7 linked regions of the Neurospora crassa OR74A genome follow. The protein of the gene in region 5 binds, or shares a complex with, the protein of the main gene of each other region. Links are inferred from orthologs where the notes say so. Each region holds a gene or a part of one and is shown on either strand. Other genes may lie near its edges.

Region 1 (4,600 bases), about 1.9 Mb from region 5:
CTCAAGCCATCTGCGTGTGCTAAGATAAACCATGGCATGGCATGGCATCTTCCCGTCGGTATCTGACTGGATTTTTGGTGTCACTGGATTCATTTGATACAGACATCCGGGTTTGACAAGGAGAGTTTAATATTTTAACAGATGTTGTCTAGTCAAAGGTAGGTACAGCTGAGAAGAGGGCCCAAACCCAATCAACTTAAAGTGGAAGAAAGAAAGAAAGAAAGAAAGAAAGAAAGACAGAAAGATCAAATTTCGTCAGAACAACAGTTGTGTTGCATGTATATCAATATACATATATACCTCTATATATAAAAAATGAATCATCTCGACTGATCCTCCCTTGAGCTTTACCTCGTGCTCAACTTGGGTGGTTTCAAAACCGGGACATTACACATCGATTGAGTGACCGTGAGTGAGTAAAGCCAGTTCGAACCAAATCTTTGACCGGATCCAACGTACGGAGTCCCAATGCGAGACATGACATGGCATGGCATGGCATGGCAATCGAGACACCGATACACTCACTCTGCCGTCCTTCACCGGTGCTCGGTTTACGTACCTACTTTTAGTAGCTACCGCGCTGAAACGAACCAGTGAGGTCTCGGCCAGGCAAATCTGATAACCTAACAGTCAATAGTCAAGATTCAGTTTGTCACCGATCACTCGGCATGGAGCCTGAGGCCTTGCGAAGGAGGAGAAATCAGAGGCTGAAACTACAAAGGTAGAAGGGCTACAACTGGCAGCGGTCAGGTATGTTTTCAACAGCTGATGTGTCGTGGTAGTTACCTAGTGAGCTGATATCGTGAAGGAAGCAGACATCATGCGGAGTAAGGAGTAGTCGGACATGTAGGTCCGTATGAGGTCCTTAGGAGATGTACTAAAAAGTTTGGTCAAGTAAGCAGAGAAGGTTGGATGTCGATGTCACAATGTGCGTCCATCTTTCAAAGTGCTATATTTACAATTTGCATTTGACCTATCCGTTTGTTGCTTCGTTGCCGTTATCCTGCTTTCCTCTTTCACACACACACACACATTTGGTTCATTGGTAATATACACATGTAAAAGTATAGATGGCAGCTGCCGGGGCTGGCTTGGTTTTTACTTTCCTTTCTCTTTTTCCGGCCGGTCTCACCGTCATGCTATCCTATCGTACAGAACAACTTTTCCCTATATATCCGGGTTCCATATAGACAGACAAAGTCACAGAAGTAACTTGGGCAGCAACCGTACAATAATCCATCTCCATCCCGTTCCACTCGCTCTTTCTACCCCTCGGACAAGGTGACAGCCGTCGGACTGTCGATGGCGGCGGCAGGCATGGACTGATGGACCAGTAGTCGCGAGTAATTCAGAACCAAAAAGTCGAGGCTTAAGCTTTCACGCTCCCGCTTCACTTCCTACTTCAATTCCTCCTCACTCCTCCCTCCTCTTCCCCCGCAGAATGGAAGCAAGAGGCTAAACAGAGCTATCACCGCCCGTCAAGATCCTAGTCTCCAGCCTGGCCTCCTCCTCGACCTTGGCCCAATCAATCATGTTCCACCAGCTCTGCGCATACGCCAGCTTACCACCCATACCACCCACACCAGTTCCGTATTCGCGAAGCCACGCGTACTCCCACGTGTTGAGGCACAAGATCGGAATCAAATCAGTGCCGCCGGGAGCCGTAGGTTCAAGCTTGTTGCCCTTGAACCCAGCTGCGCTGCGCTCGAAGAAGCGCTGGCCGTTGCTCAAGCCCTGGGGGGAGCTCCCGATGGAAGTCTGGGCGTCCATCTCCTGGCGGCGCCAGTGGGCGCCCGGGTAAGGAGAACCAGCCAAGTAGGTGGCCATGACGCGGAGGGCGACGGGCTGACCGGGAAGCTGGGTGCGGACGAGCCAGACGAAACCGGGACCGAACATGGAGACGGCGGTGCCGATCATCTCGTCGCGGAGCGTGTCGACGGAGCCGAAGTTCTCGTTGATGTGGTAAAATAGCTTGTCGCCCATCTTGACGGGGACCGGGGACAGGTGGTCGAAGAAGAAGTGGTTGTTGTGCGCCATGGAGGCGTGGTTGAACACATGGGCGAGCTCGGGGTCGCGTGCGGTGGCGAGGACGATGGACTTGGTGTCTTTTTGCTCAAAGTCGGTGCCTGTTTGACGAAAGAGAAGTAAGCAAAGTGGTTTGTCGGTTAGATATCTCCCATGCAGCAAAATAGGTGACATCATGTCTTCCCCCCCGGATAGGCAGGGCATGCTCTGGCTTGAGCTTCAATCCGAGTCCCCTTCCTTCTATTTCCTCCACCAATTCCTTTGTGGCCTAACCACTGCGCTAATGCCTCCTCTTCCTCTCAGGCTTAACAGCATCCCAGCTTGGCGTTTTCGACCAAAGGATACCAATTCCTCGCAGCCAGTAATCCTCGCACGTAACCTTCATCCATGCCATGCCGTGCTATGCCGTGCCACATGATAACGCAGCGACACCAAATTCCCCAGACGAGTATGTTCTGTGTTGCTGTGTCATCCGTACGTACCTACTACAAGCGCGTTAAGCTTCTCCAAAATGAAGGTCTGGTACTCGGTATAGGCCATGTTGACGGAGCCGGGGCTGAGGAAGTTGCGGATGCCCTCTTGCTCGAAGTTGTCGCGAAGCGGCATGAGGTAGTGCTGCCATCTCCTTTGAGCGGCGATGCTGGCGCCGGCGACGGCGGACTGGTTGGTGGCGACAGCGTTGACGGCACGGCCGAGGAGCGAGCTTGTCGCACGGGGTATCCTTAGACCCATGGAGCCGATCATTTTGTCTGTTGGGGTTTTTTTTGGTCTCTTTCTCCGCAAGAAAACGGCCCGGGGGTCGGAGGAAAGGTTCGGTGGAAGGGAAGGTCGGCCGGTCGTTCGGTCGGGGGAGATGGACGGTGGACAGTGTGTGTGGGGGGCGGACCTTGAGGACGGACGGAGACAACTTCAAGACTGGACGGGCTGCCGGCGCAGAGCGGACGCACTTCAGAACACACGGGCACTCAACCCCGGAAGACGGTCGAAGTGGGACGCGACTTTCGAGACTTTTTTTGCTCCGCTGCGGAAGGACCCGGCCATTGGAGCAGGGACCAATCGTTGGGACGAACTGGCGGCCGGCAGCCTCACCGTCCTCGCAAAGAGCCAGGTTTGACCCTAACCCTGGATGTTATTGAGAGGTACCTACCGTCCTTGGTGGGGTAGCTGTTTGCCAATTCCGGAGTTCCGTACTTGGCGTTCACATTGACTTGCGTCTTCAACCGTTTCGATGATGTACTGGTGCACAGATACTGGGCATCTTTCTCTACTTTGCTCGTGTATGTGCTATGTTCATTATCGTACTTTGACCGATATTCTGTAACGCTATTGTAAAATAATTCCGTGGACGCCGTTGCTCGAAGTCCGAACAACTAACAATAATCACGAGGCGAACTGGACGCCCTCACCGGACTTCCCCCACCAGTACTACTTGACGCCAAAAACGACCCGATGATGCAGTATCCCGAACAGAATGAGGAATATAAACAGTGAACACCGACACCCCCTTTGAATCAATTTCCCTTCCTTCCCTGGTCATTCAAACGTCGTCCTCCACCATCGCAAGAACATCAAGCTCGTTCCTGACCATCCGCTCGAACTCTTCACGACTGATGCCAGCGCCGCGTGACAGCTGGAATAGACTTCGAATCGTCCTTGAGACGTGCTGCTTAACTCCAAACTCGACTCGATCTTGCGCTTCCGCCGTTTCTTCGAGCTTGGCCACCATGCGGGATCCGTTTGAGCTGGCGCTACTGGCTGGGCGCGGATGAGCAAGGCTTTCCATCCTCTCCTCGTCCGCCTGGGACATGCGCCGGCCACTTGAGTCAGAACCGGACTTATCAGAGGGTGATCGGGATGGAACGTAACCGCCGTTGCCGTCTCCGTTTAGGCCCAATGGCGGCGGCGCTGGTGCGGACTTGATGACAGGCGGCTCATATGCCTGTTGTCTTGGCGACGGAGACCTGCGAAGGGGGAGACCATTAAGCGGTGCACCACCCCCCACAGCTCCGCCCTGGAAGGCCTCCTCGTCTGGATCATGGGGGTCCATGGCTGGCTGTACGGATTCGTATTGGGCGAAGTACGCATCTTCGGCGGACGGACTACGCTCAAAGGGATGGGGTTTTTGAGTGTTGAGGCCGGCGCCCAAGGACGGCGGCGCAGGAGAGCGGCCTTGACCGGGAGTTTGGGAAGGCGTGGCATCGTATCGGCCCCAGTAATCATCGTCGTCATCCTCTTCAACCGGTTCAGCTTGGACGGATACTTGGGCAACTGGTTTGGTTTCTGGCACAGAGATTTGTTGGGCCTTGAACGCCTTCTCTGCTTCATCGAGTGTAGCATGACCCTGGAAGGATTCGAGGGGAGATGGATTGCTGGCTACACCGACCTCGCCCACACGCCATCCGTCGCCGCCACCGTCTTTGTCGTTGACGCAGTACACAAGACGAATGAACAGGTCGAACTCTCCCAACACCACGAGGGTCTGAAGTGTCTCGGGGTCAGGTCTCCTGTACTTGATGTGGACGTCGTAATCCCAATCTATCTCCACTTCTCCCGATACCGGATGGGGATCCAGGCT
Region 2 (4,059 bases), on a different chromosome or scaffold from region 5:
GTGGACAGGGTGGCAGCCAGAATAGGACGGTGCTGACGATGGAGGATTTGGGCATGGCGGCAGGGGAGTTTGGGGTTAATGTGAAGAGGAGCGAGTTTTATCGCTAGGGGGGCAGTCACGGTCACGGTGCAGGACTGTCTGCTCTACTGATGAGAAGGGATGGGGAAACGGTGGGTGGTTTGCCTGAGTGTGAGCGGAATGGTGGCATGGCAGACCAAAGGATGATACTATCTTAAAGGGGCGGCAACAAGTGGTTACTTGCTCAAGGAGGAGGATATCAAGAGGATGATGCATCGATGGATGGATGGATGGGCAAAGGGTCGGCAATCAAGGGTCCAACACGGGAACGGTGCAAAAGGGGTTTGGGGTCATCGGGTCTTCTTTTCTTTTTCCTTTTTTTTTTTCCTTTTTTTTTTTTTTTTTTTTTTTTTTTTGCGCTTGGCGTTCAGGAGGCGCCGTTATGGAAGATTGCCATCGTCCTGTTTGCTCTCAGTGAACCCGTTATGACTACTAGTCTAGGCTAAAAATAATAATACCTGGCGATACTAGCATATTTTTATCAATTACAAAGCATAATTAAACTACACACTACACAACATATACATGTTCATCTTGAAACAACAGACACAGCACAGTAGTATGAATCCAAGCGAAAGTTCTAATTTGCCCCAAAATATGATATGTGTACAGAAACCTGTGCCCTCCTCTGACAATGGTATGGTATGATACAGATAAGCAACGAAAATATGCTTTTTTGTTTTTTGCCGAAATAAACGCCGCCCACAGAAAAAACGTGTCAAACCCGCATCCATCAATCAATCGACTTCTTCTTCTCTTTTCTTCTTCTTCTTCATCATCATCACTGAAGAGACGAACGAAGTTTGGTTTGTCTATTTCTTCTTACCCCAGATGAAGGGCTTGCGTGTACTGTTTGAGGTTTTGAACCATTCAGTTAGTGTCGGTCCAATTGTTCATGTCCATATGCCCAATGTGTGTCTTTTGTGTTGTTTGTTTTCTGCTGACCACACTGCACCACCGCCTACGATCATCATCATCCCGTGGTGGCGTCCAACACATGTCGCCCGTCCAGCCATTCATGGCTTGCCACCAGCCAATGCCATGGCCATGCCGTGTCAGACCATTGAATTTTGTGTAGGAAAATTCTTTTTTTTTTTTTTTCTTTTCCCACACCGCCAACATTTATGGCATTTCCGCCGCCATCTTAAAAAAAAAAAAAAAAGGAAAAAAAAAAGACCCTTTAAAAAAATAATATATTGAAATTGAAAAATAATAGTCAAAGAAGGAAAAGAAAGGAAAAAAGTAGACTAGTGAAAGTAGGGGAAGAAAGAACCAAAAAAAAAAAAAAAGAAAGAAAGAAAGAGCACTTACGCAGAAAACTCTCCAAGCTTATGCCCCACCATCTCCTCGGTGACAGTCAAGTCAATGTAGTCCTTGCCGTTGTGTACCTGGAACTTGAGGCCGACAAAGTTGGGCAGGATGGTGGCGGACCGGGCCTGGGTGCGGATGGGAGCGATCTTCTTGCCGGGCTCGGGGCGCTGGATGGGGAGACTGTTTTGTGTGTATGCGTTGGTGGTTAGTGCCCGTTTGCGCTCAAGATAGGTGACTATGCTTGTAGCGTTGCGGTTGGATTCGGTTGGACTGCGTTGGTTCGCGGATGGAGGGGAATGTCGCGGGATGGGCTCGTAGAGAATGATGGACATGCGCCGGCAGCTTTGATCGGGAGCAGGGAGGAGAGAGAGTCCTCGGGAGTGCGCCGGCGCATTGAATTGTCGTCGTCGTCGTCGTCGTCGTCGTCGTCGTCATTGAGATCGCGGGGACAGAAACGAGGGGAAGGGGTAGTAGAGCTTACGGGACAATGTGCGGACCTGGAGTCGGCGATGCGGGTTAGCTTGACTGTCTTGGACGGCGCAAAGAGTACATTATCGCAAGGTGAAGCTTAGGAGGAGACAAAACAAAATAACTTACCCTTCCACACGGATCTCTTGAAAAGAACCCTTGTTGGCTGCATGTTGGGCGCGAACGAGAAGGAATTCGGTGGTGATGGGTGGTGGCTGCAAATAGCGGGAAGAGGCCGGGCGCGTACGCGACACTCGGATGGTCTTGAGATCAATCGGTCGGTCGGTCGGTCGGTCGGTCGGTCGGTCAGTCAGTCGGCGAGTCCGGCAGGCGGGCGGGCGGAGCGGTTCCAGGTATCACGGCGACGGCGGCAGTGACGGGAGCGCTGACCACGGCCGAATTTTGGAACTGCCAAGCTTATCGGTTGCCGGCCGGCATACCTAGTACGGACGCCCCCGCTGACTCTCCCCCCTGGCTACCTATGTACGCAGTAGGTACTTCTACAGGGTTAGGGGGCATTCATCAAAGCGATTATCGATACAGCAAAAACCCCTGCACGGGTAACCCTGTCTATCGATATCTAAAAGCAACGCCCCCATAATTACACTACGATGATAACCCTCTAAACACCTCTTTTTGTCAAGGTAACCTACCGTCAATATACAGATGGATGTCAACCCTGCAGTGGAGAGGTACGGAAATCTTCAGTCAAACGGCACTTGCTTAGTGAGCAGAGAAAGCGGGGTCTACCTGATGGCAAAGATCAATTAGCATCCAATTTGTGTTATCGTGCATTTCTTGGGTGCGCAAGAAGAAGAAAATCTATGCACGATACTGCTGAATCTAATGCTATGGTGGTGTGACTCGTGCACCACACCCTACAGGTACCTACCCCTGTACTGGCAAGCCCCCCTGCTCGAGCAGCACTTGGGGCCGAAATCTTGGTGTTACTCGAACTAGGATACAGCAAGTATTATATGACTTACATACCGTTTAGCAAACCGGCGGCACTGGTTGGCACTCTCAGACACTTGCTGCCCGTGCTGCCGTCAATTGGTTCAGGACTAACGCGACTGCGATACTCCAAAACATAGCATCCCGGATTCCGGACTATTGGCATTCTTGGTGGTGGCCGATAACCGGCGTGCGTCCGTCGATTCCTGACTGCAGCTCAGTGGTTCACATCGATCGTGCACTCCGTCTTCTTCAGTGTTGCTCCTTCCTCAGCATTTCAAGTTCCATACACCTCGCCACCACTACAGTATGTATGATGTTTGTACATCAATGTAGGACGTAGTGTAGGTAGTTTAAGGCAGGCGTGAACTGCCGTGCTGTGCCTTGCCTTGCCTTGCCTGGGCATGGACTGGGCCGTCATGGATTCTTCGTCTAGGCAAGAGCGCCACCGCAGTCAATATATCTATCTGGCCGTGGTTTCCCGTTCGCGTTCACAACGACCTTCTTTTTGGATTTCACCATCCGTCACTCTTTTTTTTTTGTTTTGCGCATTTGTGGGTGTGCTTGCATCGTCGATGCCCTCAGACGAATGCCCCCCCTCCCTCTGGTCGGTCTGATCAACATTTGATCGGTTCACCAGTCTGCGCGCAAAGTCCGAGAAGGGCACCGCATTCGTTCTTCCCGCGAGCCACCTGAGAACAGGGCTGCATTTGTTTACTATCCAGCCAGCCATGGAGTTCCAACTTCCATCATCATCATCATCATCATCAAGCAGCTCGACTGCTGCGCAATTGTTTGCACTAGCTACCCATCAAGATCAACCGTTCCCGGAATAAACTAGTAGGGAGCACTTCCCGTCCCTGGGTGTCTGAGTGTGCCTTGATCAACTTGTCGGACTACCGCAAATGCGGACGAGTGCCTGAGTATCAGTGTTACCCGTCTCTTCACATGATCTAATGCTCTCCAGATCCCTCCTCTTTCGGGCTGAACGGTCACTATAACGGCATGGTGCTCCACGAGTAATTCTACCATCATAACGAGACGCCGACTGGCTCGTTAGCATTGCGTGTCGGAGTGTTCCACCGTTGAGCTTGCTCGCGCGCACGGAACTGAACCAGGCCGTCTCAGGCACCATCTCCACTGAACGGATTCAGCAGGTCGTCTTTCCCAAAATTGACTGGTCACGCTTCTGTCCTGCATCATATGCATGCGCGCCGCACCTGTCAACGCCAGTACCCCTGTCCGCTC
Region 3 (4,228 bases), on a different chromosome or scaffold from region 5:
AGAAATTGTCAGTTGGGAAGTTGTGAAGCGCGTCAAAAAGGTTCCACGGAGGGATATGCTTTTCTTGTTTTTTCTCATTCTTCTGCTCCAGATGTTTTGCTTCACGGCACTCTTGGTTTGCGTGGCCTCGATCCATAGATCGGCCGATCGTGGTTTTACTGCATTTCCTGACTTTCCTGGTTTTCTTCTGCAGGCGGTTGTGCTGGTTGGTATGGAGTTTGGGAGTTTATGTTTTTCTTATTGTTCGTTTTTTTGTGTTTCCTTTTTTTTCTTCCTTGCATTCACTACCGGGTCTTTTGTGTCTAAACGCCGGGATAAAGTGGTAGGATACAAACGCAGCGTCAAGGGGGTTGGTGATGGTGGTGGTGGTGGTGGTGGTCAGTTTACTGCTTGCTTGTTCCGGGCGTTGCTGGTATGGTGGGTGGAAAGACTGGATTTGAAAAATTTTCGTTTTGAAGAGAGAGAGAGAGAGAGAGAGAGAGAGAGGGAAGACTGGAGTGATTCATTATTTAGGTAGCCGAGTGAAAGTAGTGGAAGGTAATTGATAGAGATGGTTTACATTAAATCTCACTTTAGTGAGCCCCGGTTCTGGATGTGTGTTGACTTGGTGATATGAACATGCCTCTGTTGCCGTGTGTTGCCGTGTGTTGGCGAGACTGATATCATAGTGTTTAACTGGGAACTCGAGAGGATCGATCAACTACATTTGATAAGGGGAGGTAGTGTAGCATACAAGTGTGGTAACTGAAACGAGGATGAAGTTTGAGCGAAGAGCCCTCACGTCAAGTTTTCAAAGATCACCCGTAACTTTAATATGATCGTGTCTGACGTTTCTTAATCCCAAGCCATCCTTGTTGAGCCGGGACCGATGAACTACCTTGCTTTAAGGAATCTGAATATGGCGTCGTATTCTTTAGCGGATCACATTCCACATGCGTTATCGTACATGAACAAAGACGGGTCCGGGAGTTTGTTCTCTAGCTGGCTTGACTGATATGATACTCTGACCGTTTCGAGTGCACCCTAATTCACGCCAGAACTTCTTGATCGACGACGGTGATCCATTAACGGGGTCGAAAAGGAGTCAGGTTCCTCCTTCCTTCAACCTGAGTGGGTATGGATGGTTCCGCAACCCATTCGCAATGAAGATTTCGGATACGTATGCTGCCTGTCTGTATGTATGTATCCCATGTTGCTATCCAGGTGTCGTGCGTTCACGATGTACCATTGCTCATCGAAGGCCCAGATCGTTATTGGTGGGTGTTTCGGTCGTTTTTATTGTTGCTGTCGACGGAGGTAAGAAGGTATAAAGATGCCTGCCATCCATCCGTCCATATATGTTGTCCGGTCTGCTTCATCACGGCCCTTTTGGTATACACAAGCCGGTAAGGAGATGGGATGGATATATGTCGATTCGATTCGACTCGATTCATTATTTCCCATCCATCTGTCCATCCATCGTACACATTCCCCCCCCACCCGCCCCCTCTTTTGCTCTCCGTCCAGAAGATACAGATTTACGCCTCCTCTAAACTCCTCCAAGGAATCGCCCCAAACCTCGACAGCGTCTCCAGCTTGCCATCGCCCAACTTCACGTTCGCCGTGCGGATCACGCGCGGGTCGGCCTTCATGGTGCGTCGGACTTCTTCGTGCGTCGCGATGCTGGCGTCGTACCGCATGACAAAGTAGTGGCCCCGGTTATGGCGCTGCTGGTTGGTGGAGATGGGACGGGGCAGCAGGAACGTGCCCCAGTTCTTGATGTCGCGGATGACGCCGCCTTGGTTGAGGATGAGTTTGCCGGCTGTTAGGACGAGTCTGTTTTTTTTTTATTGGTTCTTGTTTAGTACGACGAGGTGTGGAAGGTTGGTAGAGGATGGGATGGTTGGGTTGGGTTCGGAGTCGGAGTCGGGGTGATAGGTAGGTAGGGTCGTGGATGATGTGGTAGAAGAGAAGACAAGAGAAAGATCGGTCGGTTCGGGTCGGGTCGGGTTCGTAAGGGAAAGGAAAGACGGAGGGAGTTTTCTTCAAGTCGGACGGACTATCGAGTGGAAACAAAGAGAAGGGGAAAAAAACATACTCCTTCACCTCGGCGATGTTGCCCGGGCGGACCTGTTCACAAGTGCAATCATTAGCAAGACTGTCTCTTTCCATCTCTCTCCTCTCCCATTCCCTTTCCATTTCCTTTCCTTTTCTGTACCCCCAATCTCTTAACCTGCTCCTGTAGTTCAACCCTAGGGTAACTCACAATACCAATAGTCTCATACAACATCCTGTCTGGTAGTTTGGGCTGGGCGGCGGGCAATCGGTTCGGGGAAAGAAACGAACGCAAAAAGAAGTTTAGTTTCGCGATGCGATGCGATGCGATTGCGACCGGCCGAAAGCGCGTATAGTACTACCTAGTGAACCTTGGACGTCGATAAGAAGTTCGGAGCCCCACAGTAGGTACCGCTGTGGCTGCTGTTGTGACCGGGCTCAGCAAGTACTGTAGGGTGTGGTGGGTGTTGCCGTCAGCAGTGCCGCATTGCCGCAGTGCCGCAGCGGGTTGGTTGCGAGTGGGCGTCCGGGTGCCGCCGCTTGCTTGGAAATTTTTGTGGGGTCCAGGAAGAAGGTCGAGATTCTGCCGCGTTGACCGCCTTCCGGATAGGGGTGTACACACTTCATCAAGGGTGGGTGGGAGAGAGGTTGTTTACTCGACTCTTCAGCTGTCACCTCGGTGATTGTAGAGACATCTGTTGGGTGTAATGGTCCTCCAGAAAAGCTGTTTTAAAAGTTCCTAAAGGGTTATAATGTGGTCTAGAAGCAATGAGAAATCAGACTTGTTCTAAAAACATTCCCAACCGCTTCATACACCTTTGAATGGCCTTCATGTTGTAAATGCATGCTCTTATCGGTATTGTGTATCTGGAAATGCGCTGTGTAAATGTATTCTTTGCTCTTTGCGAACCAACCTCTGATCTTTCGATGCGCCGCTTGACCACCATGGCAGCAACCTCAACAAGATGATAACCGCCATGAGAGCCCCGAAAGCCCTCCCAGCATCAACTGGCAACAGCATGACCATCAGTGCTTCTCTTCTTTGCCCCTCTTATCCTCCCTGCGCCAAGGCGAAAGAGTCCTCACCAACATCCTCATATGCTCCCCCCCGTATAACCACATCCACCCACTTGACTTCATCCTTTACACTCCTTCCCCGGATGCTCATGACCAACTTTCTAATAATCCTCAACATCCATCCCCTCCCCTCCTGCTGCCCCCGGTGCAGGCGCCTTGGCAATCCCCTGCTCCCTGCACCAAAGCACAAAATCGTCAATCACGCCCGGCCACGCCTGGTCTTCGTTCCAGAACCCGAGCGTCTCATCCACCATCGTCTTCTCCGCAAACGCCAGCGTCTGGTTCCACATATCCTTGTTGACGCTCCTCGTCCACTTCTCCGCCAAAAACCGCTTCCACGCACCCAGCCAATCCACGTTCTTGCTCTTCCACGGCCTCGGTCCTAGTCCTGTATCTGAAGACTCGGTGCCCAAAAACAAATCCCAGAATACCAAGGCAACGTCCTTCTCCAGTGCCTTTTGGGCAGGTTCCTTACCCAGGCCAAAAGCGAACTGGTAGACTTTTTTGAAGTAGGCCGGATTTTGAGGCAGGTTTTGGATGCACATCCGGACGTAGTTTCTGTGGTGGGCCGGGTCTGCGGGAATGCGGTGGTCGAGGTAGATGGAGGACCACCCCTCGACGAAACCCTGGCGAGTGATTTGGCCGATGGAGTCGGCGCGGACGATCTCAAGGACCACAAAAGCTTCAACGTTTTCGATATTGGCGCCCATGGAGGAGATGTAGGCTTGGGCGGCTTCGGCGCCGATGGCCTCGACGGGTTTTCCGGCTCCTGCTGCTGCTCGGTCCTCGTCTGTATCGATGTTAGTTCGAGGGGAATGAGAGGCAGGGGCAAAGAGACATACCGCCGACCAGACGGTCGAACAACTGATTCAACGCATCATCTGGGCCACGCTTCCTTTCCCGATCATTCATATACCTGTGGTCGAAGTAAGGTTAGTCTTCCGTTTCCAACCTGATAAATTTTGAAAATAATAAGCAAGGCATCTTAAGCCATCACGGACTCTAATTCCGGCGCATTTTCCAAGGATGAAGTGGATATTCCCTTGGGATCTATGCGTGGACCCAACTCCCCATTGCCAGTCGGTAGGACAGTTTTTGTAGACGGAAGATCCTGCAA
Region 4 (4,586 bases), on a different chromosome or scaffold from region 5:
AGCATAGTGGTTTGTGAGACCTGAATTCAAGATAAGCCTCCATATTTTTGAAAGTAACGAACACTCCAGGTAGGGGTATAACATTCCGAAGATGCCTGATGGATATCTCTACTAACTATGAAAGGAGGTGCTGACCTGTGGATGAACAAGATGGTTCATCATCGACTTTGGCCACAGCTTGTTCGTTGTGGTTTCTCTTCGTATGTGCAAACGAAACGGTCCCTGGTCCTCCCTTGAACCCGGGTCGTTTACCCGTAGTAATGAATGGCCTAATTCATCTGCTATGCGTCCTTCTCATGGCCGACGCCCGAGGTAAACCACGAGACTACGGGCATGTGATGGTTGGTGTGTCGAAGTATTAAAGATCAGGGGCATATGAGACCGAACAGTACTTGGTCGCTACAGCACGCCGCCAGTGGTTTCCTGTGCCGAAGGCTGATCCTTCAAGGGGAACGTCACTCCTGCCTGCTGCAGCTGGGCTTCCCGCGCGGCCTTCATCTCCGCCTTCTTGTCCGCAAACTTCTTGAGCAGCTTCTTGTTATCCAAGGCCATTTGAGCTGCTTTCTGACCAGCTTCCTTCTTGCTCAAAGCACTTCCGTGCCCAAGTTGCAGGTTGGTCTCCCCCCAGCCTGTCATAAAACAGCCAATAGCGAAAAGAGGCAGCTTGGTTCCCCTGTCCTTCAGGTTTTTGGAAGGGAGATCTTTATACTCGATCTTGACACCCCTGGCTCCAATGGTAGCTTCGAGTACTGTCTTTGGGTCGAGTGTCTGGCCACTTGCGGATTGCTTTTGCTCCGGCTTCCTGGCCTTCTTCTCTTCCTCGCGGATGTACTCCGCCATGAGAGGGCCCCATAGGGCCTTGAGCCAGTCTGAAGCACGCTGAATCCCATTGGCAGGATCAGAAAGAATCACGCCTCCTACATAGGCTTCGAAAAGGTCTCCGAGAATCTTAATTCTGACTTTTTGACTTGCGTTTGTACCGCCCACTCTGCCCTCCATGTTGAATTCTTCCGGGATATCGGCCATCTTGTCCAAGCCGTAATAGACCGAGAATTCGCCTAGTGTGGTGTTGCGGATAAGCATCTCGCGACGTTGTGCGCTTTTGCCAGCCGGCAAGGTCGGGAAAGTTTGATATATGAAGGAGGAGGCGATGAGCTCAAGATAAGCGTCGCCAATCCACTCCAGCCTCTCATAACTTGCAACAGGGTCGTTGTTAGCTTTACCAGGGTGTGTGAGCGCCGCCTTTTTGAGTGCCGGGTCCAGAATGTCGGGGAGCGGTGGCCGCATTCTCTGGATGGTAGCGAGTGTCCATTTGGTATTGGCATGCAAAGAAGGAATTTGGACGGAGGTTGCGGACTCCAATGTAGCGCCTTGTGATGCGGATGGTGCAGAGTCTGACTTCGCACGCTTGGAGGGCGGTTCTGATACCTCCTCCGGGGTGGGTCCGTGTTTCGGCATGGCAAGATTGTACTTTCCTACAAGCAATCCGAATGCCTCAGATCGCGCGTTGATGCGGCGATGAAATTGTAGAGGCAGAATCGAAAACGGATTCTTCAAGATGAGAACGAATCCCGGGCCATTGCGTAGTGGAAACCCTAACCCCCTGTTCGACCCCAGATCCACATCAGGGCGCTGCTGCTGCCCTGTTATGGCCCGTAGCTGTCATTCTTAGCGCCTGTCAGCCCTGGAACGCGCCGCCCTCGGCTTCATCAGCGGGCTTGCGCTGACGGCCCGGGGACACTGCGGCTCGAAAACAACGGTTGCAGTCCGTGCCCCACTCTTTGTACCCATGAATGGTTATGATTGGTGGCGCATTGCTTGACGGGCTGGAGCGGGAGATCTCTGAACGACGTCGAACAATCCGGCGGCTCTTGTTGTTGCTGTTTCTAGAATTCGCGAATCCGCAATTCCATGTAACGGCAAGATGTCGGTCCCACGGGCGCGGTTACTGCAACTTGTGAAGGTATGGAACAGTTCCGAATGAGGGGAAAAACCAGTTCGCTAACTAGGTTATACCTAGGCTCGTTGCGAGCTCTTCTCGACGACTTTCAATCCCGAAGGCATCCGGACCGGTAACAAGATCCTGCGTCAGCGACTCAAGGGCCCGGCACTTGCGACCTACTACCCCCGCAAGAACGTCGGTATTCGCGAGCTTCAAAAGGAGTTCGGTACTCTTGGTCTCGAGGTTGACGATGAGGTCGATGATGATCGTTTGGAGCACTTGGCAGCGTTCGTCTCTCTCATTCCTGCTAGTGTTTACTTGCAAACATCACAATCTAACCATACCTTACAGTCTGAGAGCCCGCGACAAGGGAGCGCCCAAGAAGAAGAGAACGGCACCCTCGGCGGCCGGTGGGTTTCGTCTGCACCTCTTACTCACGGTTCAAATCTCTAACGTTCATATTCTGCGACAGATGCGAAGAAGAAGAAATAAGACACGGCGTCCCGAAATCAGAACTACACGACGTGTACATGTATCATATAGTGGGCGGACTAGAATCATATACCCCGAATACCTGGCGTTCCTCCGGCAGTTGGTCCATTTCGACATGCATTTTTCCGCTCAGTACTTGATGCCATCACAGTCTCCCCGTGACGAGGTGCTGCCACAACTGTACATATGGTTAGCGACGCCCGCGGCACTTGCCCCTTCAAATGGTGTTGAATAGCCGCCTAGTTCGACAAGCAGGTTTGTGGTTACCAGCTTTGTCAAAGGTTCATCTCGGGACTGTCCTCCCATGCGTCTACACAAGTCTCTTGATGCATCGAACAAAGAAGCGCCTGTTGATAAGCTGAAGATACCGTATCTTGATTCCATAGCGCGGATGGGCTTGAGGGAGGATATGACCCTTCGCCATTGTCCCTCTTTACGAACAGCTTTGATCATTTGGGTGAAAACAACAAGCGAGTGTCGGATCACCCAAGATCTTTGCACAAGCCGTCCATGTCAAAGAACGCCATGAATGTGAAAAGGTGCGCTGGCTCTTCCTGCTCCATTTCAAGCCTTTTCCAAAATAAAAATGGATAGGAAAGGAAGCTAATCACACCTACCATAATTTGCAAAGACCTTGGCATCCCAGCCCTACCGGACGAGAAAAGCCGACCCGCCACTCCTATCTGTTAATGTCCACGATGCTAGGTGATGGTGCTGTCTTGTTGAAGCTTCCAGACGTTGCATGCTTCCCTACCTACTCTACTCATTTTCATTCCGACGAAGAATGGTAGATCACACCGAATGGCAGGTGACATGAACACCTAGGTATGAATACCGCCTAATGAACTCGGAATATGTCATTGGGGCTCGGACGCCTAACCCAGAAACCCGTTGATCGTATGGGAAGTGGCAGCCGGACAGCAAGGTCCTTAACGCGGCAGGATGTCTCATCGCTGGCTCGGTTGACCATCATGCCCGACGTCCCCGCGACACGTGAAAAACTTCGGCTTGGTGATAAGGATCCCGCTAGGCACAAGGACGGGAGGCACGACGCCAAAGGCCGATGATCGTTAGCTGGAATACCGGTCGCAACTTCCCCAGCGACTCATCATATTCGATTCCGATCTTCGGATGGACGAGCCGATGTGCGTTCACTCGTCAGATCATCTGATGGCAGCCCAAGTGAGCTTTGATCACAGAGATTGCGGATTATCTCACAGGCATCGTGAACCCCTTTTTGCTTGGAGTGTCCGGGCAGTGACACCTGGGCAGTCCCGGTCACAGTTCCATCGTGCCTTCCTCCCTCGGGAGCCAAGGGTCCACCATTTCGACTTTAGTCTCGGTCATCCCGGGCTCATACCTACCCTAGAGGTACCTACCTACCTCTAGCCCTATTCTGACCGGTGCGTCCATCGTCACCAAGAGGTTTGTTGCTGTTGCCTTGCGAGAAGGTCCAACTTCAGGGCAACTGTAGCTGAAAGTACGGGTATCTCGGGCACATTTACACTCTTTCTTCCGTCCCAGACCAGCTCTTGGAGCTCTTTCTCTTTTCCCCATTATATCAACACATATTTCTAAGGCTTCTTCTCTTTCTGCATCTTCTTGTCGGTGCCATCACCAACCGTGTTCTCTCAAAAGCGGTTTGTGGTCATCTCGCCCCCAAGCTTCTATTTATCTGTGTCTTTCGTCGCCATTGGAACCAAATCTACTGCTTTTCTCTATCACCATCTTGAGCATCTCCTCCCATTGTGAAACACCAGCACCCAAAGCATCCCTCCAATCCCCTCAGGCTAGGTCATTCAACATCCAGCCCTCAGCAGACGACCATGTCTGCCGTCGCAGCATCCACCGGCTCGCCCAACGAGCGCCGTGCTTCGGCTTCCAGGAGTTTCTCGCAGTCTCAGGACGAGAACACGAAGCTTCCCGATGAGTTGATGTCTCCCAACTTGCAGCAGGTATGTATTCTAGTTGTATGTTACGTATTCAGTTGCATGTTTCAGGTTCTTTTTTTGGGTCTTGGGAAATTGCTGCCCTCACCTCCCGCCGGGTCGTCAGAACCTTGCCAGCCCTCAGACGGCGACGAACTGCAACACACTCGGGACGAAAATCATTACAGCGGACTGGCAGCTGTCGGGACTAAACCTCTCGACAC
Region 5 (3,517 bases):
TGCAGAGACGATTCGCCGGATCAAGCAGAAGAAGCCGACCCTGCTTGTCGAGGCCTTGACCGGTGACTTTGCTGGTGACTTGGACATGGTTAAGATTGTGGCGGAGAGCGGACTGGATGTGTATGCGCATAACGTTGAGACTGTTGAGAACTTGACGCCTTACGTGCGTGATCGCCGTGCCACATTTCGCCAGAGTTTGAAGGTGTTGGAACACGTCAAGAAGGTCCGGGGCAAGGAAGGCATTATCACCAAGACCAGCATCATGCTTGGTCTGGGTGAGACTGAGGAGGAGCTCTGGGAGGCTTTGAGGGGTAAGTCATACCAATTGCGCTTGCCCATTTGATGGATGCTGACCATGATGTTGCTTTGTAGAATTGAGGAAGGTCGACGTCGATGTCGTTACCTTTGGACAGTACATGCGCCCAACCAAGAGACATCTCGCGGTCGAGAAGTACATCACTCCCGACGAGTTTGAGCTCTGGAGGCAGCGTGCGCTTGACATGGGCTTCCTGTACTGCGCTAGTGGTCCTCTGGTCCGTTCTTCATACAAGGCCGGCGAGGCTTTCATCGAGAACGTCTTGAGAAAGCGCTCTGGCGAGAAGGTTGTCTCTGAGGCTCTTGGTCAGGCGGTTGCCGCCGAGGAGGCGACTAGCGTCCAGTCCTCTTGAGGCAGCTTATGCTAGATGTGGTTTGCGGAGCGTGTTTCAACATTTATAATCGGGATCTAGGCTTTCACAGCTATCCTGTGGCGGGCAAAATAACAGACGGATGACGGATCGGTTATTAGGCACCTTGGGGGTTGCATGCGTTTTGGCGTTAGGGGAGATTGGTTCTTTCGATTACTTTGAAAAAGACATTCATTCGTTTGCCGTGTCTGAATATAATATTGTAACAACAATTCTACACAGCGGGCATCGGGAGAGAGATTCCCATGTCCAAAAGGATGCATCATACAAACTCCCTCTGCCCACTGAAAAGCTTTTGAAGCACTCCTCATCATGCGATCACTTACTTATACGGGTATCTCAAAAACCCTGCGTACAGTGATACTTTCTTACCAACACGATGGCCCGAGCCCATCTGGGTTTTGAACAGAGTTTATTCGCCTCTGGGCGTACCGGCACCATCTCCAAACCACAACAAACCTCTGGGTTCCTTGTAGCCATGCTCTCTTTTACCAAGAGGCCTTCTTGACACCCGGAATGTTACCCATCAGGGCGTTCATACGGAAATTGTACTGTTTGCGATCCAACAGTGTTAGCAAGTCGCGCGCCTTTGCAGGTTTCCATCATTCCCATGCGGAGCTCAGCTCTTAGGACACCACTCCTTCTTTGAAGCAATCGATAGCGACATACTCTTGTCATCTTGAAGTCCCTCAAGATACCTCGACTCTTTCCACCAAGGATGCAGCGGTTCCGGATCTGCGTGGGCCTGGTGTAGGCATGCATCTGGGTGAGCTGGAGCTGGGCGACGGCCCTGGTACGGGCAGGGAGGGTGGTGTTGCGAATAACGTAACGCAGGGCTTGTCTGTATCATAAAGCAAGGAGTCGTCAGATCGTTTGTGCTTATTATAGTCGCAAATAAGGATCGCAAGGCGTAGGTAGTTACCTCTCAGGCTCGGCCTCCAAAAAGGCCTTGCGCTTGGAGTGGTCACGAAGGACCCGGACGTTGGTGAAGCACCCGAGGTCGAGCTTCTTGGCACGAAACATGGACATTTTGGCGGTTTGGTGTTCTGGGGCAGATTGGCGGGCTGAGTCGGAGATGGGCGTCGATAGCGGCGGATCGAGGCGCGTAAATCGATGTCACAGGCACTGCAGTCGTTGCTTCCCTCCGGCGTCGTCGCCCGCTAGCCGCAGTCACTCTCCCCGGCTCCCACGGCGGCCAGTGGCCTGTGCGCTTGCCGTCCAGCCCTGCCGCGTGCGGAACGACAAATTCTGCCGGGCGGTGTCATTTTCATCGCAGGTTGCAAGCGCCAAACCAAGCAGCAACAAACACTTTGCCAGGTGTGCCAGTCGCACACCAGCTGGACGGCACTTTTTCTACGGGGCTCCACTCAAACTCTCAAGCTTGCAGCTCGTGCACAGGCCACATCTGGGCCTATTTAAGACTGGCCCCCCCTCCCAAATTTTTACCTGGTTTTTTCTTCTTTTTTTCTTTAGCTCTCTTTGCCTTTTGGCTTAGATCAAGTGTAGTATCTGTTCTTTTCAGTTTAATCTCTGAAACTGCTCTACGGAGTAGAATCGTGATTATTCTAATTTTTGCAACTCGGTCGGCATCCCTCTGGGCTTGCCTATGGTTGCCGACCACTGTGTCCCTGGTATTACACTGCCTCCAGGCGACGCGAACTCAACACTACTACTTGCTTTGTGCTCATCTTCACTTTTTCGTTGCAATCTCTGGCTACAGGCTGGGGGTGTGAGGAAGAAGGATTGTTTTGGATGGGTTGACTGAGTGGTGCCTTTCGAATCATTCTACCTACCAAAGATGTAGTTGTCGTATGCGAAACGAGTGTGTTAAGTTCACCCGTACCTTACCGAATACGTTGTTCACGGGTTGCAAAGGTTGATGCCTGCCGTTCGCATGTGACAACCACATCCACCACCACTTTCGTACGTTCGACGCACCCTTTACCAATGCCTTTGATGATCGCTGGTGTTTAGCAGTATACGTTCTATCAGTCTACGGATGATTGCTCTCGTTTGCAGCAACCTTGAGCCTGCCAAAAGAAACACCTGCATGTTGAAGCGGCTTTCGGTTTGTGTGCGACTGTTTCCTATGAAAATTGTTTGTCAAGCAAGTTATCTCTATGATGGGATGGGGAAGGTCTGGATGAGATGGGCAAGAGACCCTACAGTATGTCAACACCTTGACGGTTGCAATGTCATCGCGGTTTGGCCATTCATCTGAGGAGAGGGAGTCGAGTGTCTCGTTCGTTGTCTGTTTACCTTCTCATGTTCGCTCGTTAGTATCATCCCATTCCGTACTCCGACTTCGCCTATCTCGTTCTGTGCCTGAGAAGGGAAGAACAACTGCTGGGCTCCTTCCGTCCCATCTTCAACCGCTTCCGTGGCCTTCGAGTTTCTTCGCGATCCTCCAAGCAACGAAGTGTTTAAATACTCCTCGACGCGATCAGCGTTCTAGGCTATCCTTCCTCTCGCTTGCAACCGTCTTTTGACTCCTCCACAACAACGCACCCAGGAAACTCGACGACTTTCCAACATACAAGATGTTTCGTCGCCGTTGGTCAGGCCTTCCGGCTGAACCAAAGTTCGCCCCAGATCTCAAGAAGCTCAGGTTCGTGATAATCTGCCTAGTCATCCTTCCCACGACACTCACTCTGATATATCTTGTGCGTATAGTTATTTCATCAACGAGGAAGATGAAGTTCGCTACGTGCATGACCCCGACTTCTACTTCAAGTATTTCTCGACCAAGAACACGAGGTACAACGACTGCCAGCGCTTCGCATTCGACCGTATGTAACAAACTCCCTATTTCTTACAATAGTTTGAGCTGA
Region 6 (3,749 bases), on a different chromosome or scaffold from region 5:
TGCGGGTGCAGCATCCTCCACCGCAGCCGGGCTTCTCCTCTCTGGTCTATCATGGCTATGGCTCATCTCCCTCGTCATCACCGTCGGGATAGTGCTTGGTACCTTTATTGTCTACCGGCACTTTGAAATGATACGCCGGCGTCAAAAGCCAGGTGGCAGCTGGCTCGTCCCCAGCAATACGCCCCAACCCAATGCCGCTGGCACACAAGTTCCCAACACCACCTCTCTTCCTGCTATTTACTTCACATATATACTTGGCTCTGGTGGACACACTGCTGAGATGATTGAGACCATCAAGCAGTCATTTCGCGGCCAGGCAAACATCCACCGGCGGTACATCATCTCCATCGGAGACACTTCCTCTCTCGGCAAGGCCCGCCTTCTGGAAGCGACTATCAAGGACGCCTATCCCGGAGAAGATGATCGAGCAGGCACCTCTGATATCTTCTTAATCCGCCGTGCGCGCAAGGTCCATCAACCGCTCTATACGGCACCCTTTACCTGCCTCATATCCGCCTTTCATGCCGCCAATGCCCTCACACGGATGCCCAACCCACGGTCAACAAAGGATCATGGAAAGGGATTCAGATACCCGCATGTGATTGTTACAAATGGGCCTGCCAACGGCTTTATTGTGTGTTTGGTGGCCCACTTGCTCAAGATATTCTACCTCGTACCCGAAAACAGGGCCAAGGTGGTGTACATCGAGACCTGGGCCAGGTCCAAGACGATGAGTCTGACGGGGAAGTTGTTTCTAAAAACGGGCATTGCCGATGTTGTCGGTGTGCAGCACGAGAGTCTGGCGAAAATATTCAAGGGCAGTCAGTATATCGGGCCGGTGTCTGCCGGGTTTCTTCGAAGATAGGCGACCAGGCTCCTGAATCACATGTACTTCTACAAAGTCTCTTGCCCTCTCTATATGTACAAAGAGACGTGATATTCTTACACTTGTGCACGAGTGGGCCGGCATCGTCTTTCCCCGACACGGATGGGTATCAGCCACGCTATACCACTCTGTCCCTCCCCTTTTACTCCAATTCGTTGCCTTAATTCTGCGCGAGCAGCTCGTCCTCCTCAGATTCCTCGAGCGCAGAGTTGTCGACGACATTGGTGTACATGGAAGCCCTGGCAGATTCCTGGCGGGCGATCTCGGTCGTAGCCCACTTCTTCCAACTCTCATACGTCTTGTTCTCGAGCTCCATGCCGACCGTCAGAAGGTCCTTGCCAAAGTAGCCACCAACCATGCGGGCCTCCTCGACGGCTATCCTGCGCTCCATCTGCTCCAACTGCCTCAACTTGTAGAACTCGTGGCGCGCCTTGTCGTAGGCTTCCTGCTTGGTCATGCCTTGATTCTCCATAAGCCAGAGCTGACGTTGAACGACACTATCGTTTGCGATTCGGGTTAGCATCCAATTTCCATGCCTGTCCGCCGGGCTTTTGCGCCATGTGCAATGCGCTCATCCAACAACGTACCTCTCGCCGGACAAGGGGATGCCGCGTTGCCTGAGGCCCTTGGACCAGTCAAGGAAACGGGCGTCCTTGCCATCCAACTCGATAATCATCCTAGGCCTGGCCAACTCCCAAGGGTGGTCGCGGTAGAAGTCGCGGCGCAACTCATCTTCGGGATAGACGATCTTGGTGGGCCTAAAGAGGTTGCGTGGCTTGCGCGCTCGCGGGTTCGGCGGAGAGTGCTGGATCGGATACGGTCTGGTGTTGATCTCAGCGGGAGGGATGGACTCGATGGCCTTGAGCCACAGTGGTGGGTTCCGTGGTGGCAGGCCAGAGACGATGTTGGTGGCAGCAGCCTCGCTGGCCCTCTGGTAGACCTTTGCGGCCTGGAAGATGCGCCCCTTGCCCATCTTGTCCGGTCGTCGCTGGCGGCGTTTGGGTGTTGTGGAGGGAATTACTGGTGATAATCGACGGCAGCGGTGGTGTTGGCTGAGATCAGAGGACCATTGGCGGATTCGGCGGTCCTTTCGTTCCTCAGGTACCCTCCCAAGGCAAAGGCAAGGCTACGAGGTTACGGGGTGTGTATACCTGTGTAAGGTAATAATAATACACTGCGCTGCGCTGCGTAGGCACAATGGATTCCCTCACCCGCCAAACCTATCGTTATCGCTATTTGCTTAGCTTTGTCCAAAGTGGAGCTGTGCCTTTTGGAGACAGGCACGATCCGACACGACCTTCAGTTGTTGCCGGTAACCCGCGCGACCTGCTGTCCTGCCTGCCGCGAGCGGGCGAGCAATTGGAAGGACGTGCCGGCAAAAAAAAAATAGTTCCCCGCCCCGCCATTAAGCGACCAAAGGGAAGGGAAGTACCTAGCTAGGTGCTTATCGATAACAGAAGTGGGGGTCTTGAGCCCGGCCGAGACTGGACCCTATTCCAGCTTCCCCTCTTTCGTAGAGGCAGGGGTGGGGTGTGCTCACGGCAAGGTACCTGGAGCTGTGCCTCGTCCATGTATTGTAGTGTACACCACTACACTACCCCAACTTTTTCTCAATCATCGCGTCGCTCACCCGACCCCAGTTTCCTGCCACATCCCTCCTCACTTCATGACTCGAGTTCTCCCCATTCTCCCCATACTTCCCCGCCCTCCACGAATCTGACGCCCTGACCACATCGACCTGAGTACGATCCAATTCGCCAGTAACCGCGATTGCATCGAGTGCCAATCGAGTGCGCAGCAGCCAGCAGCTTGTGATTGCGTCTTCTCTGAGCTCTTCTTCATCGAATTGCGGCCGACACTCGCGGGGAACAGGCAAGAAAAGGTTGGCTGAATGGGCAGGCCATCATGTTGGACGGCGGCAGCTCATGAAAGTCTCCAGCCGATTTGAAGGGTCGATATGCGGCACCATCTTCTTGCATCGTCCGTCGTGGAATTGGTCTGCCATTGCCGCCTCCGCAACCGCAATTGCTGCCACCAGTTCCGTGTCGCAAACCACAGCATCCATCCAGCTCGGTGACCAAGGCAGCGGACGAAGAAGACAGGTTGCGACAGCAGGCCTCGGCCCAGTACAACAACGACGGTGCTTCCACGGCAGCTGGAGCTCACAAAGTGGTGGCCTTGTCGATGGGGTCGCGAGGAGACCCATAGGCGGCTCCACCGGTTGCCCGCTACTGACCACCCCATCCCTGCGGGTAACTCCCACCAGTCTGTCCGGCACGAACAGCAGACGAGCACTCGACTCCAACTTCTTCCGCTATTCGGTCTCTGCTCCCCAAAAGCGGAGCCACACGGCGGCGGCGGCGGCGGCGGCAGCCCCGGTCCCTGACCCCGTTGCCGCAGCTGCCCCCGAACCCAGTGCCGATCAGAAGCCCGCCGACTCTGTCTTCTCGGCCCCATCCGCGCTACATGACGATCTATCGACCGAGTCCCACTCGGGCGCAAACCCACAATCACAAGAGCTGCCCGAATCCCACAGTGCGAAGCTCGGTCATCTCACCAAAGAAGAGCTGCTTGAACTGGTAGATCCCTATCATGATCTAGATGGAACGGTCGAAGACTACCTCAAGTTCATTCGCGATCCTTACATGCATAATTATGCGCCCGCTGATAGGCCCCGGTTCACCTTTGTACAAAATGAAGATGACTACGAGTATCCAGGCCCGGACGAAGTGGTTGGACTGGACGAATTTGGCCAACACACACTGAGCGATCTCAGGTTTGCTGTACTCGTGCGGCTGCGCACTCCACACAAGGTTGACCTTGACACGATCTACGACCTCTACCAGCAACTGCCGGAACCGCG
Region 7 (4,034 bases), about 620 kb from region 5:
GAGTGCCATCCTCTACTGTGTCGGCACCGAAAACGGCCACCTCGACCCTCAAGAGACAGAACTCGACCAAGAACCGGCCTCGCCCTAGTCTAGGTGTGCCTGTGAAGCAGACCGCGAAGGATCATCCGCCAACGAAGAAGGAGAAGGAAGTGGACGAAGGTTTTTTGGCACGCATGACGCGTCCAACCGCGGCATCCGCCTCCAAGACCGCTGAGAAGGTTGTCACATCGCCACCCAGGAGGTCATCGGCCACGCCCGGACCTGCCGCGAAGAGAAGTCTCAGCAAGCCACGGACCAAAAAACCTGCCACTAAATCTGCAGCACCATCTGCGGCTACGACACCGAAACAGTCTCGTGCTGGTTCAGCTGCGGCCAAGGCTGAGCCGGTTCCCAAGGCAGAAGAAGCTGTTGAGGTGCCCCTCCCCACTGTGACGGAGACTCCTCAAGAAGTTGCTCAGCCGGTAGAGGAAGCCACGGAAGCTCCCCAAACCCCCACTTCTGACGTTCATGTTGTTAAGGAGGAGATGCCAGCCCAGGAGACTGAAGCCGCCCCCTCGTCCGCTGCCGAGGTTGTTGATACCACCGATGCTGACATCTAGGAGCACGGCGAGGAGAAGTCTGCCAGCACTTCGGAATTTAAGCACACTTCTGATTCGTAAAAGGAAGCCAGAAATGGTGGATGTGATCGCTTTTTGGCCTGTAGAGTCTTTTTTAATCACCCCTATTACTTGTTCGAGACAGTGAAAGAGGGGGATGCAGTGTTACTGGGTTAGCACATTTCATGATACCTTTGTAGAAAGACCAATCACACATTTGTAAGAAAGTTGGCGAAGCATGAAGTATGAATGCATAGCAGATAGTGGGTTGTACAGCACCCTGGAGCAGGATGAATCGATCCCTTTTCTTATCAATCTTGGTGATATCTGTTTCCACGGTGAGTGCTGATGATTTAGTTGTCATGCATAGATCATAGCATACAGGATGCCAGCTCGTTGTCTTTCTTGGCCTCATACCTCATATTCACATAGCAAGAACCAAGGATGAGCTCTGCTTTGCCAATGTCTATTCCTTTCCATGTTTGTCCAGTCTTGCTAAGTCGTCTAGTGTACAATGGAATCACATCCGTATCGTACACTGCGCACAGAAATGGTTGGCTCCAGTTCAGGTTTGAGATCCTCCCAAAGTGCGGTGACTCTTCCTCCTCTTCTTCTATTCCTCTCGCTTCCTTCCCAACAATGCCTTCCTTTCACCGAATTCATGTCCTATCCCCACCGTCCATCCTTGAGACCCTCCTCCTTCTTCTTCTTCTACCCATCTATTTTACCTTGCACAAAACCAGCCCACCAACTTTCCTCTCCACTGCCTCCCTAACCTCCAACACACCTCTATCAGTGTTCACAAACAAACACTCGCCCAACTGCAACCCCTTCATGTATCCCGCGGGAAAGCCCCTCGCCACACGGTTCAGCTGTTCCAGGGAGGCAGTCACCAGCCTCGACGGCTTCGAAATCGGCTTCAGCTCCTTCAAGACGGGTTCCTCGTTCCAGTACTTGAGTCCCACCCACAACCGGCGCGTGGCCACGTTGGCACTGGTCACGGGCTCGGGCTCGTAGGTCATGAGGGCCTCGGGCGTGGGCGGGTGAGGACCGCCCCGCGTGATGGAGGAGATGAAGCCTGCGCGGTGCAGGGCCAGGGCCAGGGCGAGGTTGTACTTGGTGTTGGGCAGGGAGGTCAGGCCCAGGCGAGCGCGCGAGGCGTTTTGGAGGTGCGAGCACATGTTGGTGATTTGTTGAATGCCCATTTTGAAGGTTTGATGATGCCCGTGTGGGACTTTTGTGTTGCTGAAGAGAGAGAGAGAAAATGGTATGCACTGGGTGATGGGTTATAAAGAGAGAGAAGTCGGCCGTCGTCGCGTAAGTCGTCGGGTCGATCGGCTGGTATGGCTTGGTCCGTCCGGTGTAGAAGTGCTCGGGAGATGCGGCGGCGAACTGGGGACCTTGCGGGATGAAGAGAAGGATGATGCGGGATGAAGAGAAGGATGATGCGGGTGAGGAATCGGTGCTGCAGCGACGGGGCGTCTTGAGGTTAGTCTAGGCGTGCCGATGAAGATTCGCGGGACAGAAAAAAAAAAAAAAAAAAAGGAAGATTGCAACGCACAACCAATCGGGAGACCGTAGCTGTTGCGCACAGTCGGGTGGCCGTCACGGGTCGGTGGTCGTGATGGAGGAATTCGGACTTCGGAGGAGCCGTAAAAACAAGTGGAGGTTTCGGGACTCGCGAATGCGGCGCGCAACGGGGTCCGGATGCGAATTGCGGTTTCGAGGTCTCGATCGGGATGGCTCCGTTAGGTAAGTTGTGCTGCCGATTTTTTGTCCCCCTGCTGCTCTGTCCGCTTCTGCCGTACGGCACTACGTACGGGCTGGCGGGCGTGCGTGCGTTTGCTTGGCCGCCGGGGCCGTGTGGAGGACGGACAGGGATGGTTCGAGAAAAGACCTCAGGCTGAGCGTTGAAAGAGTGAATGACCTCGGGCAATGACCTCCACTGTGCCTTGCACGAAAGTCACTGCAAAAGAGACCCCTGCTGCCCTGAAAGGCCTCCCGTCCCTCCGCCAGAGAGACCAGAAGGTGTCTGTCCGGTGGGGCTTTCTTGGTAGCTCTCCAGGTTTATTGAGGATGGATCCTGCTTACCCCACCTTTTTTCTTGTCTTTCCCTCCCGCTCCTTTCCCTCCTCGTCAATTGTGAAAGAAGGACTGGAGAGTGTGACAATTGACTTGCTCGTGCTTCTTTCTTGGCATCCCACCTTAAGCGCCCAGGCGGACCATCCAGTGACCATCCAGGACGATGCAACCACCAGGCAAGGTCACCTCTACCGGCACTAGGGGTCGCATCACCGACCTATCGTGCGCGCTGGTTGGATGGCTGTGTGCTGATTGCGCCATGGAGTGAGAGCCGAATGTGAAGAACCAGACCACGGTCTCCTGCAAGGGTATGTAAGAGGTAGGGTACTATCGCAAAGACGCGGAAGCCGAGTGGCTTTTGTTTTCTTTGGGTTCCGTCATCTCTGATATTAGGCGTGATAGCCCTCGGGTGGGAAGCTGAGAAAGTTTGCTGTCTTTCAGTTCTCTCAATCCTTTTTACCGTTGTTGTGTTGTTGTGTTTGTTCACTCAAGCGAGTTCGTTGATCACAAAAGATGGCCGCCCGTGAGGGAGAGGAGAACGTCGGCACGTTGTAAGTTTGTCTTCCGTTGATCCCATAAAGAGGTGATAGTTCCTGGGCGCATTCTGACTGATTGATTCGCTGCATAGCTTTGGTGATATTCACTACTTCTACGGCCCTCCAACAAATAACCCGCCTCATCACAGGTTCGACAAGGGCTCCTATGTATACCTTTTCGAAGATGCCAACTTGGGCCGCGCACGGCTGGAGATTGCGAACCAACCTGGAAGGGAAGACCAGGATGCTTTCGATGGCTGTAAGCATTAGGATTTAGAGTGAGAGCTCGAGACGACAGTGGGAAGGCTAACATCATGTGTCGCCAGACCTCGACAAAACCCATCTCGAGTACGATTACAACCACACCTGCCTTGTAACTTTGACGGTTGGCGAGGTCGAGGGCTACGAGGAGTGGCATCTACCAACATACGACCCTCACAATCAGGCCAAGTACCATTACAAGCTTCACTCGCTCGACATTTACTTTCACAACCATCAAGATGCTCTGCAATTCGTCAATGGCATCCGACGTGTGCTCCCTCCGCACCAGTGCGATGTCCACAACGAGCCAGGACCACCACCTCGGCACGATACCGAAGTCAGCGCGGTAGTCCAGCAACTCGAGAGGGCAGCAATCGCTGACCACGGTACACCCCCGACCACTTTATCACAGCCTCCGCAAGTTGGCGCAATCCAGTCTTTTGCTCCGCCGCCCATGTCTGCAGTGTCTGCTTCCCACGATCACTCGACACCATCGCCTCAAGCATTTGTTCCGATGGCCTATAACCCAGCCGCGCCACCTGCCGCCGAACCCGTACGG

Evidence for each region.
Region 1: NCU00564 (region 5) and NCU07386 share a complex: the UniProt entries of both Saccharomyces cerevisiae proteins name them as parts of the mitochondrial small ribosomal subunit. The link is inferred for Neurospora crassa OR74A from reciprocal best matches to the Saccharomyces cerevisiae genes MRP2 and RSM26.
Region 2: NCU00564 (region 5) and NCU08728 share a complex: the UniProt entries of both Saccharomyces cerevisiae proteins name them as parts of the mitochondrial small ribosomal subunit. The link is inferred for Neurospora crassa OR74A from reciprocal best matches to the Saccharomyces cerevisiae genes MRP2 and RSM19.
Region 3: NCU00564 (region 5) and NCU05717 share a complex: the UniProt entries of both Saccharomyces cerevisiae proteins name them as parts of the mitochondrial small ribosomal subunit. The link is inferred for Neurospora crassa OR74A from reciprocal best matches to the Saccharomyces cerevisiae genes MRP2 and MRP17.
Region 4: NCU00564 (region 5) and NCU01761 share a complex: the UniProt entries of both Saccharomyces cerevisiae proteins name them as parts of the mitochondrial small ribosomal subunit. The link is inferred for Neurospora crassa OR74A from reciprocal best matches to the Saccharomyces cerevisiae genes MRP2 and RSM27.
Region 6: NCU00564 (region 5) and NCU03343 share a complex: the UniProt entries of both Saccharomyces cerevisiae proteins name them as parts of the mitochondrial small ribosomal subunit. The link is inferred for Neurospora crassa OR74A from reciprocal best matches to the Saccharomyces cerevisiae genes MRP2 and RSM25.
Region 7: NCU00564 (region 5) and NCU02951 share a complex: the UniProt entries of both Saccharomyces cerevisiae proteins name them as parts of the mitochondrial small ribosomal subunit. The link is inferred for Neurospora crassa OR74A from reciprocal best matches to the Saccharomyces cerevisiae genes MRP2 and MRPS8.

The regions. Positions count from the first base shown.
Region 1 is NC_026501.1:6,129,034-6,133,633, forward strand, and holds NCU07386 (Fe superoxide dismutase), read right to left. Parts: upstream 3,040-4,600; 5' UTR 2,770-3,039; coding exon 2,508-2,769; intron 2,127-2,507; coding exon 1,456-2,126; 3' UTR 995-1,455; downstream 1-994. Other genes in the region: NCU07385 (hypothetical protein), read right to left, coding at 3,563-4,600. UniProt on the Saccharomyces cerevisiae protein: Component of the mitochondrial ribosome (mitoribosome), a dedicated translation machinery responsible for the synthesis of mitochondrial genome-encoded proteins, including at least some of the essential transmembrane subunits of the mitochondrial respiratory chain.
Region 2 is NC_026502.1:3,811,041-3,815,099, reverse strand, and holds NCU08728 (mitochondrial 37S ribosomal protein RSM19), read right to left. Parts: upstream 2,409-4,059; 5' UTR 2,030-2,408; coding exon 1,987-2,029; intron 1,887-1,986; coding exon 1,871-1,886; intron 1,570-1,870; coding exon 1,390-1,569; intron 928-1,389; coding exon 891-927; 3' UTR 639-890; downstream 1-638. Other genes in the region: NCU08729 (transcription initiation factor TFIID 23-30kDa subunit), read left to right, coding at 1-107; NCU08727 (hypothetical protein), read left to right, coding at 4,019-4,059. UniProt on the Saccharomyces cerevisiae protein: Component of the mitochondrial ribosome (mitoribosome), a dedicated translation machinery responsible for the synthesis of mitochondrial genome-encoded proteins, including at least some of the essential transmembrane subunits of the mitochondrial respiratory chain.
Region 3 is NC_026503.1:614,012-618,239, reverse strand, and holds NCU05717 (mitochondrial 37S ribosomal protein YmS16), read right to left. Parts: upstream 2,532-4,228; 5' UTR 2,270-2,531; coding exon 2,246-2,269; intron 2,110-2,245; coding exon 2,078-2,109; intron 1,816-2,077; coding exon 1,518-1,815; 3' UTR 819-1,517; downstream 1-818. Other genes in the region: NCU05716 (hypothetical protein), read right to left, coding at 3,213-3,901, 3,954-4,027. UniProt on the Saccharomyces cerevisiae protein: Component of the mitochondrial ribosome (mitoribosome), a dedicated translation machinery responsible for the synthesis of mitochondrial genome-encoded proteins, including at least some of the essential transmembrane subunits of the mitochondrial respiratory chain.
Region 4 is NC_026502.1:2,520,034-2,524,619, forward strand, and holds NCU01761 (hypothetical protein), read left to right. Parts: upstream 1-1,720; 5' UTR 1,721-1,924; coding exon 1,925-1,963; intron 1,964-2,020; coding exon 2,021-2,229; intron 2,230-2,293; coding exon 2,294-2,352; intron 2,353-2,414; coding exon 2,415-2,434; 3' UTR 2,435-2,973; intron 2,974-3,065; 3' UTR 3,066-3,839; downstream 3,840-4,586. Other genes in the region: NCU01762 (nucleolar RNAse III), read right to left, coding at 400-1,458; NCU01760 (pumilio-family RNA binding repeat protein), read left to right, coding at 4,261-4,389. UniProt on the Saccharomyces cerevisiae protein: Component of the mitochondrial ribosome (mitoribosome), a dedicated translation machinery responsible for the synthesis of mitochondrial genome-encoded proteins, including at least some of the essential transmembrane subunits of the mitochondrial respiratory chain.
Region 5 is NC_026501.1:7,986,271-7,989,787, forward strand, and holds NCU00564 (mitochondrial 37S ribosomal protein MRP2), read right to left. Parts: upstream 1,921-3,517; 5' UTR 1,716-1,920; coding exon 1,609-1,715; intron 1,528-1,608; coding exon 1,356-1,527; intron 1,238-1,355; coding exon 1,175-1,237; 3' UTR 819-1,174; downstream 1-818. Other genes in the region: NCU00565 (lipoic acid synthetase), read left to right, coding at 1-311, 373-668; NCU00563 (hypothetical protein), read left to right, coding at 3,227-3,294, 3,360-3,475. UniProt on the Saccharomyces cerevisiae protein: Component of the mitochondrial ribosome (mitoribosome), a dedicated translation machinery responsible for the synthesis of mitochondrial genome-encoded proteins, including at least some of the essential transmembrane subunits of the mitochondrial respiratory chain.
Region 6 is NC_026502.1:1,034,218-1,037,966, forward strand, and holds NCU03343 (mitochondrial 37S ribosomal protein RSM25), read right to left. Parts: upstream 2,200-3,749; 5' UTR 1,860-2,199; coding exon 1,474-1,859; intron 1,384-1,473; coding exon 1,047-1,383; 3' UTR 866-1,046; downstream 1-865. Other genes in the region: NCU03344 (hypothetical protein), read left to right, coding at 1-865; NCU03342 (hypothetical protein), read left to right, coding at 2,812-3,749. UniProt on the Saccharomyces cerevisiae protein: Component of the mitochondrial ribosome (mitoribosome), a dedicated translation machinery responsible for the synthesis of mitochondrial genome-encoded proteins, including at least some of the essential transmembrane subunits of the mitochondrial respiratory chain.
Region 7 is NC_026501.1:8,605,441-8,609,474, forward strand, and holds NCU02951 (mitochondrial 37S ribosomal protein MRPS8), read right to left. Parts: upstream 2,593-4,034; 5' UTR 2,158-2,592; intron 2,062-2,157; 5' UTR 1,802-2,061; coding exon 1,316-1,801; 3' UTR 863-1,315; downstream 1-862. Other genes in the region: NCU02952 (hypothetical protein), read left to right, coding at 1-599; NCU02950 (hypothetical protein), read left to right, coding at 3,192-3,229, 3,307-3,473, 3,541-4,034. UniProt on the Saccharomyces cerevisiae protein: Component of the mitochondrial ribosome (mitoribosome), a dedicated translation machinery responsible for the synthesis of mitochondrial genome-encoded proteins, including at least some of the essential transmembrane subunits of the mitochondrial respiratory chain.